Stegostoma tigrinum: one gene and its partner. The protein of the gene in region 1 interacts with the protein of each later gene in a pairwise test. Links are inferred from orthologs where the notes say so. Each region holds a gene or a part of one and is shown on either strand. Other genes may lie near its edges.

What was found.
Region 2: the proteins of troponin T, cardiac muscle (region 1) and troponin I, slow skeletal muscle interact in binary tests that used the Homo sapiens proteins (3 or more experiments, as listed by UniProt). The link is inferred for Stegostoma tigrinum from reciprocal best matches to the Homo sapiens genes TNNT2 and TNNI1.

The regions. Positions count from the first base shown.
Region 1 is NC_081374.1:31,949,385-31,960,600, forward strand, and holds the start of troponin T, cardiac muscle, read right to left. Parts: upstream 5,426-11,216; 5' UTR 5,399-5,425; intron 1-5,398. UniProt on the Homo sapiens protein: Troponin T is the tropomyosin-binding subunit of troponin, the thin filament regulatory complex which confers calcium-sensitivity to striated muscle actomyosin ATPase activity.
Region 2 is NC_081374.1:32,236,438-32,247,349, reverse strand, and holds the start of troponin I, slow skeletal muscle, read left to right. Parts: upstream 1-5,625; 5' UTR 5,626-5,626; coding exon 5,627-5,706; intron 5,707-10,912. UniProt on the Homo sapiens protein: Troponin I is the inhibitory subunit of troponin, the thin filament regulatory complex which confers calcium-sensitivity to striated muscle actomyosin ATPase activity.

The DNA of each region.
Region 1 (11,216 bases):
AAGGGGGAAATCTTTCCTGTCAAAAAGTGTTTTTATTATCTACTATATAGTATTTAGCTGATATTGATCTTATTTGCTTATTAGAAGTTTTAAAACATGAAATATTGCCACATGATCATTTGAGTCAGTCTCTGAAGTGTCTTTTAAAAAGCTATTGGTCTCTATGGACCTTGAAACTGGATAGAGAGAAACCTGGTTTTATTTTCCATTCTCAATCAAATGTTCTCAGGTCAGTTACAGCACTCCTGACCATCATATTGATCTACACAGTCCCAAGATGAAATTTCCCTTTAAAAGATAGGAGTGCTATCTAATAGATTAGATTCCCTACAGTGTGGAAACAGGCCCTTTGGCCCAACAAGTCCACACTGCCCCTTGGAGCACCCCACCCAGACCCATCCCCCTGTAACTCACACACCCCTGAACACTACAGGCAATTTAGCATGGCCGATCCACCTAACCTGCAGATTTTTGGACTGTGGGAGGAAACTGGAGCACCCAGAAGAAACCCACGCAGACACAGGGAGAATGTGCAAACTCCACACAGACAGTTACCAGAGGCTGGAATTGTACACAGGTCACTGGCGCTGTGTGAGGCTGCAGTGCTAACCACTGAGCCACCGTGCCGTCCTTATTGCCAGACTAATTTTCACTACAGCTTCTATATACTAGGAGATTAAAATTACTTAACTCATAGTTAAACAGTCAAATCCAAAGGAGTTGCTGTGTATTTATCAAGTCCAGTTCCTTCACAGCTCAGTTAATCACCGGTTTAAATAGTACAGTTAAAACAAGAGATGGAAAGTTTAAATAACCTCAATACAAATGAGGACTCCATTCGATATGGAGCAAGCAATGCACAATAACAGATTTATTGTTTGGCATGCAACTTCAATGAGTTTAAAAATCTATTGACCATTTTCTTCATGTTCCTCTTCTGCATGGGGACCAGTTTCATGAATTAAAAGTTTAGATCAGTTAATATTTTAAAATAGGATGTTAAAGCAGTATTATAAAATACATGTACAGTCACACAAACTGAGGAGTTAAACAATGTCCAGTGGAGGAAACAGGTTTAAGACATTTAAGTACAAATAGACTTATAAGCAGAAATTTTGCTCTTAGGCTCATAATACCTGCATTCATCATTCTATATAAATGTTAAATGATGCAAACCAACATAAAATATTTATACAATTCATAAATAAATTACAGAACTTTGCAGTCTTTGAAATCTTTGATCAATTGAATTCATGTATGACAGAGTCTCTCCTGACTGCACAGTTCAAAATACCTGCCTTCATGATTTTGGTGCTGATGCACCCCCTGTTGAATTGAAACTGCTACAAAACAACTCATCCTCAACCCCACAAACAAAGACATTATTTCCCCAGACTACAGAATTAATCATAATAATTTTTTATTATTATTTAAAGAAACAATATTGTATAAATAAGATCAAAATGGCAGTTATATGATAGTTCAATGTTATAAATGGTCGCTCAATGTTATAAATGCATATAGGATTAGTATGGAATGTATAACTTTAGATTAATGACCTATGGATCTAATAATAAAGTGTTAAGATTTAGAGAAAAAAAATCCACCTTTTCATCATGATGATTCATTTATTTCCTTCAGGCAGGAACTGTTGAGATCTTGGGTAGAGTATTTGTGGATTGGAAGGCAGGATGATAAAATTTAATGATTGTAAAATGATCAGGGGTGGCAGGAATATTGCATGGTCCCTTTAAAAGCTTTTTTAAGGTTTTCAGATTTAAAAGAGCCTGCAGGCAGCAGCACACAGAGCATTCATGAAATTGAAACATTGTACCAAAAGGCTGTGCTGTCCGTAGGCAAAGCAGCATTTTTGCTGAAACAAGATAATAAAATGTGAGGCTGCATGAACAGAGCAGGCCCAGCAGCATCTCAGGAGCACAAAAGCTGACGTTTCGGGCCTAGACCCTTCATCAGAGAGGGGGATGATTTGAGGGTTCTGGAATAAATAGGGAGAGAGGGGGAGGTGGACCGAAGATGGAGATAAAAGAAGATAGGTGGAGAGGAGAGTATAGGTGGGGAGGTCAATCCAGGGAAGACGGACAGGTCAAGGAGGTGGGATGAGGTTGGTAGGTAGGAGATGGAAGTGCGGCTTGGGGTGGGAGGAAGGGATGGGTGAGAGGAAGAACAGGTTAGGGAGGCAGAGACAGGCTGGGCTGGTTTTGGGATGCAATTGGGGGAAGAGAAGAGCTGGGCTGGTTGTGTGGTGCAGTCGGGGGAGGGGACGAACTGGGCTAGTTTTGGGATGCGGTGGGGGAAGGGGAGATTTTGAAGCTGGTGAAGTCCACATTGATACCATTGGGCTGCAGGGTGCCCAAGCTGAATATGAGTTGCTGTTCCTGCAACCTTCGGGTTGGTTCCGCTCGGTTCGCAATAAACAACTGCACCTCCCAGTTGCAAACCATTTCCACTCCCCCTCCCATTCTTTAGATGACATGTCCATCATGGGCCTCCTGCAATGCCACAATGATGCCACCCAAAGGTTGCAGGAACAGCAACTCATATTCCACCTGGGAACCCTGCAGCCTAATGGTATCAATGTGGACTTCACCAGCTTCAAAATCTCCCCTTCCCCCACCGCATCCCAAAACCAGCCCAGTTCGTCCCCTCCCCCCACTGCACCACACAACCAGCCCAGCTCTTCCCCTCCACCCACTGCATCCCAAAACCAGTCCAACCTGTCTCTGCCTCCCTAACCTGTTCTTCCTCTCACCCATCCCTTCCTCCCACTCCAAGCCGCACCTCCATCTCCTACCTACTAACGTCATTCCACCTCCTTGACCTGTCTGTCTTCCCTGGACTGACCTATCCCCTCCCTACCTCCCCACCTATACTCTCTCCAACTATCTTCTTTTCTCTCCATCTTCGGTCCGCCTCCCCCTCTCTCCCTATTTATTCCAGAACCCTCACCCCATCCCCCTCTCTGATGAAGGGTCTAGGAGAAACAACAGATTTTTGAATTTAGCCAATGCACTTAAACCAGGCCAGAGTTACCAAAACTCAACCAAATTTTAATCTCAGAGATAATGGGAACTGCAGATGCTGGAGATTCCAAGATAATAAAATGTGAGGCTGGATGAACACAGCAGGCCAAGCAGCATCTCAGGAGCACAAAAGCTGACGTTTCGGGCCTAGACCCTTTTGACAACCGAGTACCAATCCTAGTAGCCCAGCCTATTCAGCCTCTCCCATTAGATCAAACCCTTGAACCCTGGCTACATCCTTGCAAATTTGTCAATGAAAGTAGGGAAGGTCTCGTTGGATGGGAATTAAACAAACATGGACTAAATAATCTGAGTTGTTATACAAGGAATAAACTGGAAGGTTGCCTTTATGAAATAACTGCCTGAATAACTTCCTTGATTTTATTTCTCTAGGAACTGACATTCAAGTGCATCTTAGGAAGTCTTATTATGTACATATCTTACATATCTTGATTTTCAGAAGGTGGCTCATGTCAGATGTGGAAAAGCTAATTAATCTGTTACCTGTTGTCAAATGCAATCTAAATTGATCAAACTTGTGAATAATAAATGAGCCAGAACAGTAGAATGTGATAAAATAACCAAGAAGTTAACATGGACAAAATCTTTCTAAATAGTCAAACTGTGCGAGATTAACTTTAATACAGAAATGGCACAACACTCATCGCTGTAAGAAACGATTGGAAAAATTCTCAAATGATTGAAGCTAGACTAGTTAGTCGGGGACACAATAAGCTCTGGCAATGATAGTGCTATGAGAGCTATGCTAATTTTTTTTACTGTATCGTTTGGTTTGGTGCTTTGGATTGTGAGCTGGGGGTTGGCGGTGATGTTTGAACTGTGAGCAACAGCTTGATTTGTTTTGGAAGGGCAGGAAAACTGATATTTGTTTATGAGGTCAGGTCTCGCAGATAATTACAGGTTGATTCTTGTTCCAAGTATGTTATAGACATTGAACTTTATAGACATTTAACTCCAGAGAGGCATTATACTCAAACAAATGACAGGTGTTGAATGTTAAATAGCCTTACAGAAAGGCTGGTACGAAGAGAATGTCGGGAAAAAAAGAAAGGGAAACCAAAGTTTGCACTGGTTTTGAACAGAGGTTTTTTTTAAACCAGATGATTGTGGCCATCTAACCTATAGCGGGAATTATTGATTGCTCCCTGATTATCCTTCTGTATTCAACTTATTGAAAGTTCAGAGAATAGAACCTCAGTTATAGGAGTTAAGCAAATATTCCTCAGAGTCTAGTGGAAGCTGTTTACATTAACTGGTGTCTTCATAAAACCAAACAAGATGCAATCCCATGTGCTTGTGATATTATTGATCATAGATACTGCTTAAGTGAGATGGCCAGTTACATCTCATTTATTCTCCTATTGATTAATCCCTTAACTGTGTCTGTTTGTCAGTCAATCTTTCTGTGAATACAGTCTAGAACCGAAGAAGATTGCGTTTAAATTATAGCCATTAATTAGAATACCTTGTTCTTTCACTGTTCTCTGCTAAAACTATATATTAGTAATAAATTGATAATTCTTTTGTTTAGGCTATAAACCTGGTGTGTAGTATCAGTTATTCACTCAGGTTATTTAAAAAAAAAAGTCTTGTTAAGAGCCATTGGGCTAATTTTGAGGGTCTTTGTGTATTTCATTTTTCTGTTGCAAATACACAGATAGGGAGGCAGATTTTGATTTGGCTCACTGCCTCTGCGTCATAACAGTAGTAATCTTGACATGAACCATATCTTGGCATAATCGATAAAAGCAGCACAATTCAGAACTATATGTCAAACTAATAGAAGCAGTTAAGCCGAAAAAATAAGTGTGTTCTGTTCAGGCTGCATCAGCATTCAACTCAGGGGATTACAACTTGTCCTGTAGCCAGTGCAAAATAAAGGACTACATTACAGAATCCAGAGGACTTCGTTCTGAGAAAAAAAAATGAAAAAGGCTTCCATTCATTCAACTTTAAAAGACAAATATTAGGCTTCCTTATAGATATATACGTTACAAGGTGAAACAGAAAAGGTTAACTTAATGCAATTCAGTATTTCATGTTAAATGATGAATGCAAAGCACAGACAACTTCAAAAACTGATTTAAAAATATATAAGACCAATGTCAGAATTTATTGATTTTCAAAGAATGGTTAACACCAGGGATGGAATTTTAAGTCGGGGAAGTAAAAATTACACAGTTAAAGCATGAGACTGATAAATGTTGTGTTAAAGATATCTTTGCTTTATGAAAATTGACTTGGATGATTAAATTGTCTCTCTCTTTTCTATTTTTCTTCACTAAATTACCAAGAAAAACATGAAATAATCTGAAGTGGAAAAATAACGTACATACCTTCGACTTCTTCTTCTGTTATAACAGGCAAATGGAATACAAGGAAACATATTTATTACAGGTAACTAGAGCATTCCTTTTGAAAAATGTGGAAGTGAAGTATTTTCATTTTCAGCTTCTTACCTTCTTGTTCCCTGAAATATAACAATAACCTTTTAAAAATCTCCTCAAATAGTCTGCAAGTTGGCTGAGCAGTGACTGAACTGTGTGAAACAGAGAAGCCCTAGATTCACCACCTAACTTATGTTAAATTACAGCTGTGATACTAACATAAACTGAAATTGACCTTAGGCCCTTTGGGTTAGGGAGAGAAAAGTTAGACCAGGAGTGCTAATCATGAGAATTTTCACCAATAACATTGCACATCTGTAGTAGTTAAGAGATGGTAGATTTGCACTTCATTATGACACTTTCACCAACATTATAGCTACTGAAATAGGAGGTCAAGGCTCTCTCATGTAAAATGGCTTTTTGGGTGAGGTACTGGGTAAAAAGTCAGTGACTCCAAGAAGGGAATGCTTTGGAATGAATTTGGTATGAAAATATCACAAATAGTACACTGAACAATTGAAAACATTTAAGCAATGAGAAGTCAAAGACAAAGGTAACAGAATAAAAGATTATAATTGTAACAACTGAGAATTATACTTACTCAATTTCCTCCACACAGTCTTCCGTGTCTGACATATTTAAAGATAATTTCTTGTGGCTGAAAAGATAACAGTCATAATGAATTTCTGCCACATTGCTTCAGAAATGAAAACAAGCTAATGTGTACATACTACCAAATGAAAGAGTTTGCAGAAGGATGTTCATGCAAACATAAAGATGCAGATTTTACAAAATTCCAAATGGGTTAAATTGACTACTGCTGCAATTCCTTTTGGAGATCAGTATAACATGCTGAGGTTCAGATCTTTTTGATAGGAAACTATTTGCCTTTGTTGAAAAGAAACAAAACACAACTGGGAAGAATTTCCCAGGGACATGGTTTGGGGAGTCAGTGAAATTGTATTTCAATTGCATGGTTGAGGCAGGTGAAAACCTCAATGCAGATGTCTGCGACTAGAAACTTCAATGTCTGCCATTTGACCTTGGCCTTGGTCCTCATCGGCACTCTATGTAGGAGTTCCACTTAGTTTTTTTTTTAACAAAGCTAGTTGTCATTTTTCAGGAGAACACCACTGGTCTAGACCCTGCCATTGGGACATACATCTAACTATTCAGTCAAGTAACCCTCTTGGGTACATTGAGTCTTGAGCAAGCAATGGTGACAGAGACTCTCAGTAAATGATCCTCCATCAGTTTCCTTCCCAAGGTGTTCCTGCCTTAAAAGGCCAGTCAAAGGATTCTGGAAACCACAAAGTTATATAACCATGTCACTAATATTTGCTTGAGGTAGACAGAAGTTCACTATTATCCTGCCAGAAGATCAGCAGAACTGAGGAGTCTGGCTCTAAAATAACAGATGACTCATATGGATGTTTATTCACAATGCTTTCTAGTTTCAACCAATTGACCAATTTTGGAAAGCTATAAAATATTAAATATTTTGATTCTGATTTAAGTCAGGCTCTGGTTTGTAGTACCTATTGCTATAATCAATATGATATTGCATGTGTTCCATATTTTCCTGGCATTGAAAATGCTCATGTTAGCAAAACTATAATAAATTTAAAGGGATGAAAATTGTAAGTGGTTGATTATGGAGATAAGGCTAATTGGCAACATATAGAAAGAGAATTAACACTAATTCCTATTTAAGGATCTGTAATTGGATTGAAATTTTGGCTGACATAAACCCAGTTGTGGAGTCCCTTTGTGGTATCTTCTCTGGGTGTGTTTTTTGATGGGTGGGCACATAATGTAGAATTGGTGCCCAGCTGTGTAACATCCCATCCATCCATAGGCTCACTCCCACAATACAGCGGTTAGGGAGTCAAATCAGGCAGTCTGTTTATCATATGTGAATAAATATGAGTCAATTGAACTTGTTAAAAAGCTTAATTGATCCTCATAATACGCTGCCCATGCCAAAATATGGTTTGTGGGAGCACTGGACACAATTGGGCAAGCCTTCTTTGTAAGAATTTTAATAATTGGTGGGAAGAAAGTGGGAATACTATGTTCAGGGTATGCTCTTTGCAAATCAGGGACATCCTTTCTGAATGTTGTACCGCTCCTTCCTTCCCTCAAATAAGTTCCAAAAACTACACTCCATTAAGCCTGCTTCTACAGCTCATCAAGCTTTGTTAGCTCCCTTCGCCAAACAATACCTTAGACTTGTCTCTCTCCAGGATAGACACTGTCTTCTCTGAAGGTAGGCCTTCCTGCAGTTCTAGCAGCACCACCACTGTGGTCATGGTGTTGCTGGAGCTGCTACTCAACCAAATCAGCCAGAAGCTCTTGAGGAGATGTGGCAAAGAATGCAACTAAGTGAATTGCACATTCCAAGGGCCAGTGCATACATGGCAGGCTGAATGGCCTCTTTCAGATCTGTAAAAATTGTGTGATTCTATGATTCTGTACATTCAAACAGCCTATCCAAGAATGAATATTCTTAAAGAATAAAATTCACAATGGAAAAATCCAGAAGTACAAATTTATTGACTTTAATTCTGTCATGTATTTTTGGGTAGCTAAGTGTTCAAAGCGCTGAAACATTTAATTCTTTTGAACTAATCAATATAAATACGTTTGTTTAATGTTTAAATATTTTTATACTGAAGGAAAAGAATTATAAAGGTCCAATGTAAAAATCTTTTCCAAAGTAAAAGTTTAAATTTTTTCTAGAGCACTTCACACTACAAAGGAATTTTTAAATGCATATTTATGTCAGTACTGCATTTAAAGGTAACCATTGCTGTTGGAGGTCATTGAGCAGTGATGCCTGCTTTCAAGTGGCCTACTTACCACTCTACATAACTGAAATAATTGCAATTCTTTGACCTTTTAAAGAGAAATGTTTTATGAAGAATTTTATCTTTTCAGATAAGAAAGGCCAGTAATAGGGTGTAATCTCATTCATTAAAGCCTTAACCACAAAAGCAATTAAAATACATTTCAGTGTTCAAGGGTGAGAAAACTTAGTAAAATATGGTCTTTTGTTCATGAATTTCAATATTGTTGGATCTGATTCTCAAAATCATATTTAAATGTCATATATGCCTGTGATTTCCCTTGTCAGTATATTATGGTGAAAATACACATACTGAATGTTAGTAGGGTTTAATTATCCTGTATCTATAATGCAAGCATCTGGTAGCCAAAATCCTAAATGTCAGCAGCTTTGATCTTTGAGTTGTGAGACCAGTAACACAATAACATTTACACTAAGTTCAGCGCTAAGTATAGCTTTGATTAATGTCAGTATGTACAGATTTAATCATCCTAGTCACCAAAAGGCTTCTAATTGTAGAGCTATTTGCAAATCGCACAAAAAAGAACAAAATAAAGATGTCGCCTACTTTGTTAAAAATGTCACTTGAATATTCCACAAAAAATAATTTCAAATCATAACCAAATAAGATCACATCATATTGTAATTAAGTAATTTGGGAAAGAAATGAAAATTCTTACCGAGAAGAAAGGAGCACAAATAGCACCACAGCTGACTTGTAAATATCTGAGAGTTTACTTCGGAATTTTGTGCTTAAAATCCAGTCCAGCCCTAAGACCAGAGTATTTGCTGATTGGTGAGACAGGGTTGAAGTGTGACATATTCTATTTTAGAAAGATGTTGGTTTCCCTGTTCTGAACAGAAGCACCACTCACTAATCCATAAAAGACCATCGCTTTGTCATGGCCCATGAGTCTTACTATTCTTAGATGTCAGTATGATGTGTCACTGGAAATGCACAAATGTGTTTTGGGGGATGGAGAGGGGTTGGAAACATAATAATACAGGAGGCAAGTAACAGCAAAATATATGATTAAAATAACAAGCTCAACAATGGTTAATTTTTAACTTTATCACCAGAAGAGGGAGGAATCCAACCTATCTTTACAGCTGTGCAAGTCAATTTTTATGCTGAGATATCTGATTTCAGAAACAAATAACAATTGTTCCTATGGAGAAAAAAGTGTTTGAAGCATTGGCTAATTTTGCCATTTCATGGAGATTCTTGTGAAATCTTCAAAAACTAGTGAATCAGATTACAATCCTTTATTCCATCTTGTATTATGTCCTGTATAACTTTATAATGTGCAATTCTCATTTTTTTTTCTCCTTCCTGATTCCATAACAATATCCTGTAGACAACAAATTGCTTTATTGCTTATTGGTTTGAGCTGCAGTGAACCAATTAAAAACCAATGAAGTCTTTGAATCAAAGATAAAAGTACTGGATACATTTTATAAAAAAAATCAATTATGTCACATAAATTATCTACTTTATCGAATAGTATCAGTTAAGTTGAATTTTGTGTAATTATCCCTATAATAACAATTGCGAACATTTAGAATAGTGATCTGGCTGTACCAAGAATCAGTCTGTGTTTAATCAAACAAACCTTAATGAGCTTCAATTTAAACAGGAACTATCCTCACTTTTGTAAAGTTATTCAAAAGTGTCTTTGTTCATAAATATAATTTTAAATGACTGCATAATTAACATTTCAATTTGTAGAATAAAGCTAAATTTAGTTTGGAGCGAAATGTGGAATGATTATTCGGGAAGTGTATTTACGTTTACAATCCACTAGATTTGTGATGAGAACACTCCTTCCTTCTAAACCCTAAGGTCCTAAAAGTTATCAAACCAAAAAGAAAAGACTTTTAGTGATGTGTAAATGGCACCAGCTCAGATTTACCTTTTTTTTAAGAAAAGAAACAAAATCCAGATTAAATTTTCAAATACTGATTGCTTAGCATAACGTTTTAAGTCAATTGGCTAGTAGCAAAACATACCGCAAGAGACTGTAAACACTTAGTATCTTGGTTACTTTCTGGAGGCTGGAAATGAGCATTGAGAAATTATACATCAACGTGGAATTAGAGCTAGTCTAGCCGCTATTTTCCAATTTTAAACAGCTAAGGTCCAATTCCTAAAAGATACTTTTACAATGAGGATCCATCTTTACTACAGCAATAACTGTGGTAGTATATTAGTGAAAAAAAGAAAGGCAAGTATATTCACTCTACACTATTTTGATCATTTTTCAATCACGACATACAGACATGTTGTGGTAAAGTTCCTTCTAAGCTGCTTGGCCAGATCACGAGAATTTACATGAGCTTTCAAGTTACTGTCTTTAATATATCATGCATGCACAGATGTGCAAAATTAAAAAAAATTGCTTTTAAACAAATTGTACATACCAGAAACTCTTTAGAGAGTATGTTGCAGGCCACTTATTGATTTCTTTGCTTTGCATTCAATAACTTCAAGCAGTCAACTAATAGAGACCATATGTCAAACCCTTGTGAAGTCGATATGCACAATACAGGAAAGTTAAAATAAACCTCCAACAGACCAAACTTTGAAATGAATTGATTATAAAAAGAAGTTAACAATTCGAACAATAAGCTTTTTAATTGTGCTATGAACAAGCAGCTATCACAAAATACAATTTCCTGCTTCTGGGATTTGAATGAGGCAAACAGACACCTTATAATAAACTGGTTTTCTTGTAGAAGTAAATTACTGCATAACTAAAATTTCAATTTGTAGGATAAAGCTAAATTTAGTTTGAAGAGAAATGTGGAATGATTACTGGGGAAATGTTGGAATTCTCTGCGAGTAGTCATTGTGAAGAAGAGAGAACAGCTGTCCCTATTTTTGGAAGCATCTCCCGTTCTTTCTGTTATCACCTTTCA
Region 2 (10,912 bases), about 290 kb from region 1:
TTGCCCTGCACTGTCCAGCGATGTGGAGGCTTGGAAGGTTAGCCATGGTAGATGTGGGGATACAGGGATGGGAGTGGCTCAGGGTGGGTACTCTTCAGAGGGCTGGTGCAGACTTGATAGGCCAGATGGCTGCTTTCTGCACTGTAGGGATTCTATGATGAGAAATAGATGAACAGTATGTGTTAATGATAGTTTTTTTACCTGATGCTAAATCATAGTTGAGTTACATGTAGAGAATCATCCCATTTTACTCTTAGTGGACATTATTGACCAAAGGATTCTGATGTATTCCATTGATTAATGTATTCTAGAGTTACACATTTTAATCTTTCTGTTACAAAGCAAGATGTTGATCAAAAAACGCAGGCATTAGCAATGTGTAAAGCATTTAGGTGAAGGATTGATACGAGTGAATGGGAAATTATTTCAGTATGATGTCAGTTTCTATACTTTTTACCTTCTCCTAATACACATGGGGAGGCAATTGCCAAGTGGTATTATCGCTGGACTGTTAATCCACTGGCCGAGATAACATTCTGGAGACCTGGGTTTGAATCCTGCCATAGCAGATGGTGGAATTTGAATCCAAAAAAAATCTGCAATTAAGAATCTAATGATGCCCATGAATCTGTTGCAGGTTGCTGGAAAAACAAATCTGGCTCACTAATGTCCTTTAGGGAAGGAAACTGCTATCCTTACCTGGTCTGGCCTCCATGCGATTCCAGACCCACAGCAATGTGGTTGCCTCTTAACTGCCCTCTGGGCAATTAGGGATGGACAATAAATACTGCCTAACCTGCAATGCCGTGTTTCCATTAATGAATAAAGATGTGGTGCGCTGTGTTGTGAATAAAAAGAGCTGAATCTGAGCCCTTAAACATTGTGCTCCCTTAAAATTAAAGCAAAAACTGTGGATGTTGCAGATCCAAACTAAAACAATATGCTGGAGAAACTCAACAGATCAGGCAGCATTTGAGGAGAGAGATACAATGAGTATAATAATGGTTAGACTGTCTGGACACCCACATCCTTCACTTGAATTTTGAAAATCAAGAGATGTTTTTTAGTGATAGGAACGAATCTTCACATGCAGAGAGAATCCCAGCTGGTGGAAAGCAGGCAGTTAAATTACAGCACGAGATTTTTAATCAAATTCATTCTTAAGACATGGCCATCACTGGTTAGTGTTGACTTATTATCTATCCCCAGCCACCTTTGAAACAGAACTGTCAACCTTTTCTTGACTTGTTATAGTCCATATGGTTTCCTCAACCCTGATAGCATCGGGCTCCTAGTGAAGCACCAATGTGATATCAGAAATGGCATAGCAATGCAAGGCAACGATGCTGAGAACATGCAGATAGATGCTGAGAGAATGAGTGCTAAGAGAGCAAGGGAGCAACCCAAGATTTAATCTGGTCCTGTCCATCAGTTGGGGGCCTGGTGCTTGCTGCTTGAACGTGGGCATTTCAATGATGTCAAACTTAAAAGTAAGGATGTTACAAAAGGCCAATTGCTGGATGAAGGGGAACCAATATTCATCCAACACCCATTGCTTCATCATTTGTCATGCACATATAACAATGGTTTGTACTAAACACTGTAAGGAGATGAGCATTTGATGTCGGTCGAGAATAGAAAATGTTTTGGGGCATGCAAGATCTTCCCTCAATGACAATTTTTGGCCTTCAGCATATGCCACCTTCACCAAAATAAAACAAAACAAAAAAAAACTGCAGATTCTGGAGACCTGGAACTCCATTCTGTTGAAGAATGTCTGGACTTGAAACATTAGCTCAGCTTTCTCCCCACAGATGTTGTCAGACCTGATGGGGGATCTGTCTTCTGAGCAGGACAAGGGCAATGAGGAGGAGGAAGCTGACATTTCCCTTGAAAGAGATCAGCTGCTTTGGGTGCCATAAGCTGGACAAGACCTTACTTGGTTCCAATAGAATCTAACAATTTTGCCAATCTAACCACAATTATACCCACTGGTATGGCACATAATTATGGATTGTGAAATATTTATTGGCTATGATACCTAAATCAGGTATGCATTGTTAAGGAAATCCTCAGCTTCTATTGGTTTCATTTACACTTGTTTTTTTCCATCAGTAAATAAACAGTTATGTTTGGAATTGTCCAATTGCTTCCTTGTATGTGATACTCCTCTCCTGGAATTGGGCGGGGTATTGAGTACAAGAGTTGGCAGGTCATGTTGCAGTTGTATAGGACTTTGGTTCGGCCACATTTGGAGTACTGTGTACAGTTCTGGTCGCCACATTACCAAAAGGATGTGGATGCTTTGGAGAGGGTGCAGAGGAGGTTCACCAGGATGTTGCCTGGTATGGAGGGTGCTAGCTATGAAGAGCGGTTGAATAGATTAGGATTATTTTCATTAGAAAGATGGAGATTGAGGGGGGACCTGATTGAGGTCTACAAAATCATGAGGGGTATAGACAGGGTGGATAGCAAAAAGCTTTTTCCAGATTGAGGGACTCAATTACTAGGGGTCATGAGTTCAAAATGAGAGGAGGAAAGTTTAAGGGAGATATGCATGGAAAGTTCTTTACACAGAGGGTGTTGGGTGCTTGGAACGCATTGCCAGCGGAGGTGGTAGACGCAGACACGTTAGCATCTTTTAAGATATATTTGGACAGGTACATGGACGGGCAGGGAGCAAATGGACACAGACCGTTAGAAAATAGATGACAGGTTAGACAGAGGATCTTGATCGGCGCAGGCTTGGAGGGCCGAAGGGCCTGTTCCTGTGCTGTAGGTTTCTTTGTTTCTTCTTTGTTTCTTTGACAAGTTTGTAGTGTTCAAATGGGATGTAACAATGGGCAGGTAGTGTATGATGTGGTGACTAAATAGTGCCAAGGAAGATAGAATAACGTTGCATATGCAAGGGAGTGTCAACTATATGTTGTGGGCATTGTGGCTTTGGTGATATTCCATTACGCTGCCAGCATGAGGCAGTGCTGGATTGCCAATTTTCATCTGCGTTAACAGCGCCCTCTCAAAGATGGTACGGGCAGCAACGATGCTAGTCTTTTGATAGGCACCTGCTGATTGTTGAATTGCTCTGGGGACCACGTGTGGTAAGCTGAGAGTGGAATCAGCTTTGATGGACATCGTAGGGAATAGGATAGGTAGGTAATGCGGCGAGTTTGGTAAGATGTGAACATAGAACATTACAGCACAGTACAGGCCCTTTGGCCCTCGATGTTGTGCCGATCTGGCATACTGATCTCAAGCCCATCTAACCTACACTATTCCATGTACATCCATATGCTTGTCCAATGACGGCTTAAATGTACCTAAAGTTGGCGAGTCTACTACTGTTGCAGGCAAAGCGTTCCATTCCCTTACTACTCTCTGAGTAAAGAAACTACCTCTGACATCTGTCCTATATCTTTCAGCCCTCAATTTAAAGCTATGCCCCCTCGTGCTCGCCATCACCATCCTAGAAAAAAGGCTGTCCCTATCCACCTATCTAACCCTCTGATTATTTTATATGTTTCAATTAAGTCACCTCTCAACCTTCTTCTTTCTAATGAAAATAGCCTCAAGTCCCTCAGCCTTTCCTTGTAAGACCTTCCCTCCATACCAGGCAACATCCTAGTAAATCTCCTCTGCACCCTTTCCAAAGCTTCCACATCCTTCTTATAATGCGTTGACCAGAGCTGTACGTAATACTCCAAGTGCGGCCGCACCAGAGTTTTGTACAGCTTCACCATAACCTCTTGGTTCCGGAACTCAATCCCTCTATTAATAAAAGCTAAAACACTGTATGCCTTCCTAACAGCCCTGTCAACTTGGGTGGCAACTTTCAAGGATCTGTGTACATGGACACTGAAGTGGTGAGATAACTCACTAGACTTTGCAGCAGAAATCCCTCAAAAGAAACTCAACACAACTGGGAGTTAGCCAAGAACCATAAGATTCAACCAGGCGTCATTGTGACCCAACTGAGCAGAGAAGTGACTGGTACAAGACAAAACCTGGGCATGCTTTTCTCTTAACTCCCACAAAACTAGTTACGCAATGGTGGGAATTAACTGATTCGTTCATTGGCATTTCTCCCATTGTGTGGAATCTTGCACCTACCAACTGATCATAGGCTGGAAGCTGACAGCAAACATATAAATGATTCCAAAAGAGTTAAAATCTTCTGGATCTCAAGTGGTGAATTGTGGCATGGTTTCCTATCCAGTCCAACACTGGTTACACTGATCCCATTCCCTCTATATTCATTAAAATCACTCCCGTCAGACCTGCTAAAACCATGGTTTCAAGGCTTTCATAAAGTTGGATATTCTAAAGATGGATGCAACTTAAGACCTATAGCTGAATCCTTTTTCCTTCTGATATAGTGCAAGGTTCAGTGGTGTCAAAAAAGACTGTTCAGAATAATTCCTCCTATTTTAGTAGATTACCTCATACAAGAACAATAATTAGATTTTAATGTATGTGTCCCTGGATTATATTGGAGGGTCATAGCTGTATTCACAATGCCAAATTATTTTTATAGATATTTTCTAATCAACCTATACCTACACATCCCAGGATCAGGCCTCCTAGTTCAGATGTAAAGATACTACCATTGTCCCTCTAAGAACCCACCAACAAATACATCTTATAAATTTCTCCAGTGCAAATGGTTTTTATGAAAGTTGGATTGAAAATGAGAACTTAAGGTAAATAGCTTGGCATGAATGTTAAAAGCCAGTATCCCATGTTGTTGAAGGGCATTTAATTTTTAAAATTCTTTCTTGGCATGTGAACATAAATGAGCAGGCCAAAATTTACTACTCATTGCTAATAACCCTTGAAAATCTGATGATGAGCCAATTATGTGTCATTTTTATTTCTGCCAGCACTCAGCTCATTTATCCTTATAATTTATCCATTTTTGCACATGGAAACTAAACAATTAGTAATCGGCAATAGAGCCTAGAAGGTCTGATTGTCTTCAATTTACTTACTTTACATTCTCTATTTACAAATGATAAATGTGTACTGAAACTGTGGCATATCTATCCAAGGCCAGAAACAGAGCACAAGGCATATAACTAGAGGTACACAGTTAAAATCCTCCAGAGCACGTAAAAGATTTCAAAATATATTTTAATGTGGCCCCAAGAAATTGCGTCAATTGTCTTTGTTGCTTTATCGATTTTAAACCGTGTCATCAAAGAAGATTAACTAAAGATAAATAACACAGGTAGATGATCTGAACGCTAAAATCACTTGCAATTGCAGCATATGTGTAATTATATTGTACTAGGGCTGTTGAGGGCAGCCAACGTGCACATGTTTGGACATAGTGCATCATTCTATACATATGTGGTGACACAACAGAACAATTGAAGTTAGCTAATTGAGTATTTCCTTTCAGAGCTGTTAGGGAACATGTTTCATCGGCTCAGGTTTTATTTCTTGAATTTGATGTTAGCCAAGTGGGAAGGTAAAACTTATATGCCATACATGAAAGTGAATGTAGACTGGATGTCTCTTCATTCTGAAAAGTTCCTTTTCATTCCTTTCCTGACATGGCATTTGCAAAACAAACAAAATCTGGGGAAATGACTCAAATCTGTGTTTTCTTGCATTTATTCACAGAATGTGGGCATCTTTGGCTGGACCAGTATTTATTGCCCATCTCGCAAGTAAGAATCTGAAGTCACATGTTAAGCAGACCAGGTAAGGATGACAGATTTCCTCCCTTACAGGGCTTTAAGTGAACCAGATGGCATTCCCCGCCCAACAATTGACAATGGTTTCATGGTCATCATTAAATCCTTATTCCACATTCTTCATTGAATTCAAATTCCACCATCTGCCACAGCAGGATTTGAAGCCAGATCCCCAGAACATCAGCTGAGTTTCCTGGATTAATAGTCCAGTGATGCCACTAGGCCTCTACCTCCCTGCAAAAAGCTGCATTTAGTGCGTTATTCTGATTGGGGAGGATTTTGAAAATGAAGGCCACTTCTTTCTGGAGGAGGCTAGAGCTCAAAATTCACCTTGAGTGGTGGTGCCAAACAATGCTATCATAGCAGCTGCCACTTGTATGCAGAACCTCATCACCAGTTTCACTCGATATAATGGATCGCTGCTCTGGCATTACTTGTTTATGTCAGAACCTGGGACCAATTTCTGTTGCATGATGTGAAACATTAATATGCTGCCTGTAGTTGCCATGAATATTAAGTGGAGAGCAGTTGATAACCAGGACTTCTTGCTTTTAAATTTGTCCTACATTTTAGAAGATTTCTTACTTTCACATTATTTCCGGCTACTACAAGGCTTATGTGGTCAGATCGTTAGGTTTTAAAAAACAGTAACGTGCTGCAGCATTGTTGTTAATTCCTTTATTTTCCAAGATAATACTACCGTTATTTTTCCCTTATAGCCCTAATGCTTTCTTGTATATACTTTACACACCTCTTATGATGAGAAATTTGATCAAACCATCGAGAATTATTGTACTTAATTCTTCATTCACTCACATGTAATTGATGATTAATTTATTTTGGATAGCAGTACTATATATTGTTTTAAGTAAGTAATGTCTATTGTTTTTCCCTTCACTTCCCTCAGCTTGATTAAAGAGGTGGTTTGTAGGAAAGTAATTCTTCTGTTTATTTTGGTATGCAATAGATGGTACTGTTTACCAAACAAGTCCCTGTTGAATTCATTTTGGGACAAAGTGATAAAAATTGATTTTCTTTTTGCATGGATTTCATGTTTTTGACATAATTTCAGCTATAAACATCACCTCCAGCTCACTTCAAAGTTGTATTTCCTGGATTTGGAATACAATAATAAAGGGCCAGCTGGATGCTGTCTGATGTGGTGGGATTTGACAGGGGTGTTCCGGGTCATGAACCCATCCCTTGAGGGGAAAGAGACAGTGCTTCCAATTTTGATGAAGGTTGGCGTTAATCAATGAGAGCTTAGAAGTGGTGGCCAATTAGTGGCTTTAGTGAGGAGCAACAGTAGAGGCTGAAAAGCAGGTCACATTCTGGCCCAACTTACTGGTTTTATAAGCTTTTAAAAAAACGAAACCATTTGAACCTTCTGTTGGCTAAGGCATATGGATACCTGGAACTTTAGACAGCACAAGGAAACCTTCATGTAAAATTTCATTGCTGTGGAACAGATTTCCTTTAAAGTTTCCACTTTTCCTAAAATTCCACATTGTTGACGCTGCTCCCAACAAGGTTTTGTTTTATGTAGTTTCTAAGAGCTAGCAGCACCAACAAAAATGTTGCCACCTTAGAATGGGAGCTGTTTAAGTACCCCTTAGTTACCAGAAAGTGCCCAGTCATTATTGGGATTTTACTTCTCTCTGTTTCATATACTCTCCTCTCCCACCTCACAAAAATTATCGGAGTCAGGAATGGGGACATGGGAGTGTTACAGCACATAATGTGAGCACCACTTTTTCACTCCTATTTGCCACTCTAGCCCCTCACCTACGGACCCACCTGCCATCTATCCACTTACCTACCTTGCTTCCCTTCCTCATTTACCTGTTGTTAGCCTGTCCCTTCAAGTACGCATGTGCCACCCTGCTCTGTCACCCATTTATCTGCCATTCTAATTCTCTCACCATTCACCTGCCAACTTACCACCCCACTCAATTACTTGCCATTCTGCTACCTCCCTCACCTGGCAGCCTATACATTTGCCCATCTACCCATCACCCTTCTAGTTCACCTACCAGCCATCCTATCCCCTCATCCTCTTTCCTGCTACCTCCGGCTCTCACACACTTACCTGTCACACTATCCTCCCTCACCTATCTATCTGCCATCCGGCCACCCTAAACCCTCACACACTTACCTTCTCTTCGTAACTTATCTAAGTACCTTTGGGATCTTTAAACTATTTTTCACAGGAGACCAAATACTGAATGAATTCCTTGAGGGTCTCCTGAGATGGAGGCATCCAGGACAGGTTACACTCAAACGTTTGATTGTAAATATCACTACCAAGTAAGTGCGCAATCAGGATCATTGTTGGTCAGATCTGTCCAAGAGTAATCGGAAGACTTAGACCATTGTAATTTGATATTGGTTTTGGAATTTCATTTCTATCTGGGAATATGGAAATGGAATGACTTGTCAGATTGAATAAAAAGTGTTGAACGCATTCATTTAAACGTGTAATCGTTCCATTACCAACACACTGTGGCAGCCATATGTGCCATCTACAAAATACACTACGACCACTAACCAACGTTACTTTGAAAACATATTTCAAACCTGTGATCTCTATCACTTAAAAAAGACAAGGGCAGCAGATGCATGATAGAACTACTACTACTTGCAAAGTCTCCTCCAAACCACACACCACTCTCACTTGGAACTCTATTGCTACTCCTTTGCTGTTGCTGGGTCTAAATTCTGGAGCTTCATTCTTCAAAGCAGTGTTGGTGCACCGATCCTGCATAGATTGTGCCAATGTAAGAACGCAGGTGACCAGCACTCTCTGGTGAGCAATTAGGCATGGGCAACAAATGATTGCCAAGACAGTGATGGGTCATTTTCTGTGAAAAAATAACATTAAAGCCTTTAAGTACATTTCAAACTGACAAAATACAAATTGTTATCTTTCAAAGATAAAATGTCTACTCCATAGATTTTTCAGGAGCTGCCAACAATGTTGTTCTGTGCCAGCTGAAAGAACTGTGTCTACATTCAGCTACTTCCTTATTTCCAAAAGGACATTCCAAAATGCCCCCCTGTTGCTGGAACCCTCATCTGTACTCTTGTCACCACTGGACATGACTGTTTCAAAGCTCAGTGAACTTCACCTCCATTCTTTCAGATTTAAATTGGCTTGCTGCCTCTAATTGCCTCCCACTTAAACTCCTCATCATTATACTTAAATCTCTCAATAGCCTCACCCCTCTATATCTCTATAAATCTCTCCATCTGGAAAAAAATCTCCCAACAAAATCTCCAAACTATGTTGTTTCTCTGCTCCATTTCCCCGAAAGTTGCTTGTCTTAAATATGCACTGAAATCATGACAGAAATGATTAAATTTATCACTTATTATACTGAATCAATACAATTATTTTTGAATTGAAGTTTTGCAACAACTCTTTGAAAATTTTACTCAATACAACAAGATGTGACTAAATCCATGTTAATTATTTAAAACAGTTTGTTGTCAGCTAAGGAACCTTCTGGCCAAATGAATTTATTATTTGTTATTAGAAAACAGTTACAAGATTTGAAATCATTTGTTATTACTTGATGCAAAAGTTCACAATATAAACATGCAAATAAGATTGACTTGTATTCCTACAGTGTGATACACAATCACTTTATACTCAATAAAATAATTTAAAAGTGTAGAGGCAGCATCATAAAATGATACAGCTCAGATGGTTATTTGCTCTAATCTGACCATGACCACTCTTTGGGAAGACTGATGCAATTTGTCTCACTCCCCTGCTCTTTTCTGTAATTTATTTCCTTCAATTATGTATCCATTTCCCTTTCAAAGTTGCTATTAAATCTGCTACTATTTCAGGCATTCCAAATCATAGCAGTTTGCTTCTCACACTGTCATTTTTTTGTTAGTCCATCACTTAAACCTCTGCCCTCTGGTTACCAAACATTTTTTATTATTAATTTGTGGGAAGATGGTATCACTGGCTAAACCAGCATTTATTGCCCATCCCTAATTGCCCAGAGAGTGGTTAAGAGTCAACCGCTGTGGGTCTGGCATCACGTAAGCCAGATGAGGCAAGGATGGGAGTTTCCTTGCCTAAAGGACATCAGTGAACCAGATAGGATTTTCTGACAATCAACAATTGATATTATCAGACTCTTAAGTCCAGATTTTTAATGGATTGAAATTCCACCATTTGTCATGGTAGGATTTGAACCCAGGTGCCCACAATGTTCTATGCATCTCTGGATTAATAATCCAGCAATTATACTACTAGGCCACTGCCTCCTCTGCTAGTGGAAACCGTTTTACCTTCCTCTATTGAAGTCACTTCTTGATTTTAATATCTCTTCATTTTAAATCCCCTGTTTCTCCTTTTAATATCTTGTTCTGTATGAATCACTCAACTTCTCCTGCCTCTCTGCATAACTGAAGTCCACCATCCCCAGGATAATTGGAATAAATTTCTTCCAAAACATCACTCAAACCATAGCAGCCTTCTAAATACGCTTCCCAGAATTAAACACAGTGCTACTGGTGGAGATCCATTATCCTTCTAATTCTTTATGACAATTTTGCGCTTCATGTCATTTGCAAACTCAGATATGATGCTCAGAGTTTTTGTGTTCCAGTGGTCATGTTCTTATCTCTGAGCCATGATGGTATGAGTTCAAGTCCTACCCGCCCCAGACATGTGTCATAATATGTCTGAACAGGTTGATTACAAAATAACGTCCTGTATATCCAAGTCCAGGTTATTAATATGCGTCAAAAACTAAAGCTGCTGTCCTATTAGCAACTCCTATATAAAATGCTGATCATTACTGTCAGCTCTCTGCCTCCTAGCCAATTTTCATAGAATCCCTTCTGTGTCGAAGTAGGCCTATCAGGTCCACACTGACCTTATGAAGAGCAGCCCAGCCAGGGCCACCCCCAACCCTATCCCTGCATTCCCCATGGTTAATTCACCTAATCTGCACACCCCTGGACTCTATGGGCATGGGCAATTTAGCACAGCCAATCCAACTAGCCTGCATATCTTTGGACTGTGGGAGGAAACTGGAGCACCCAGAAGAAACTCACATAGAAACAGGGAGAATGTGCATCTGAGAGTGGAATTGAACTTGGGTCCCTGGTGCTGTAAGACAGCAGTGCTAACCACTGAGCCACCATGCTGCCCTAATTGTATGCCTACTCTGCCACTGTCGTTTTAATTT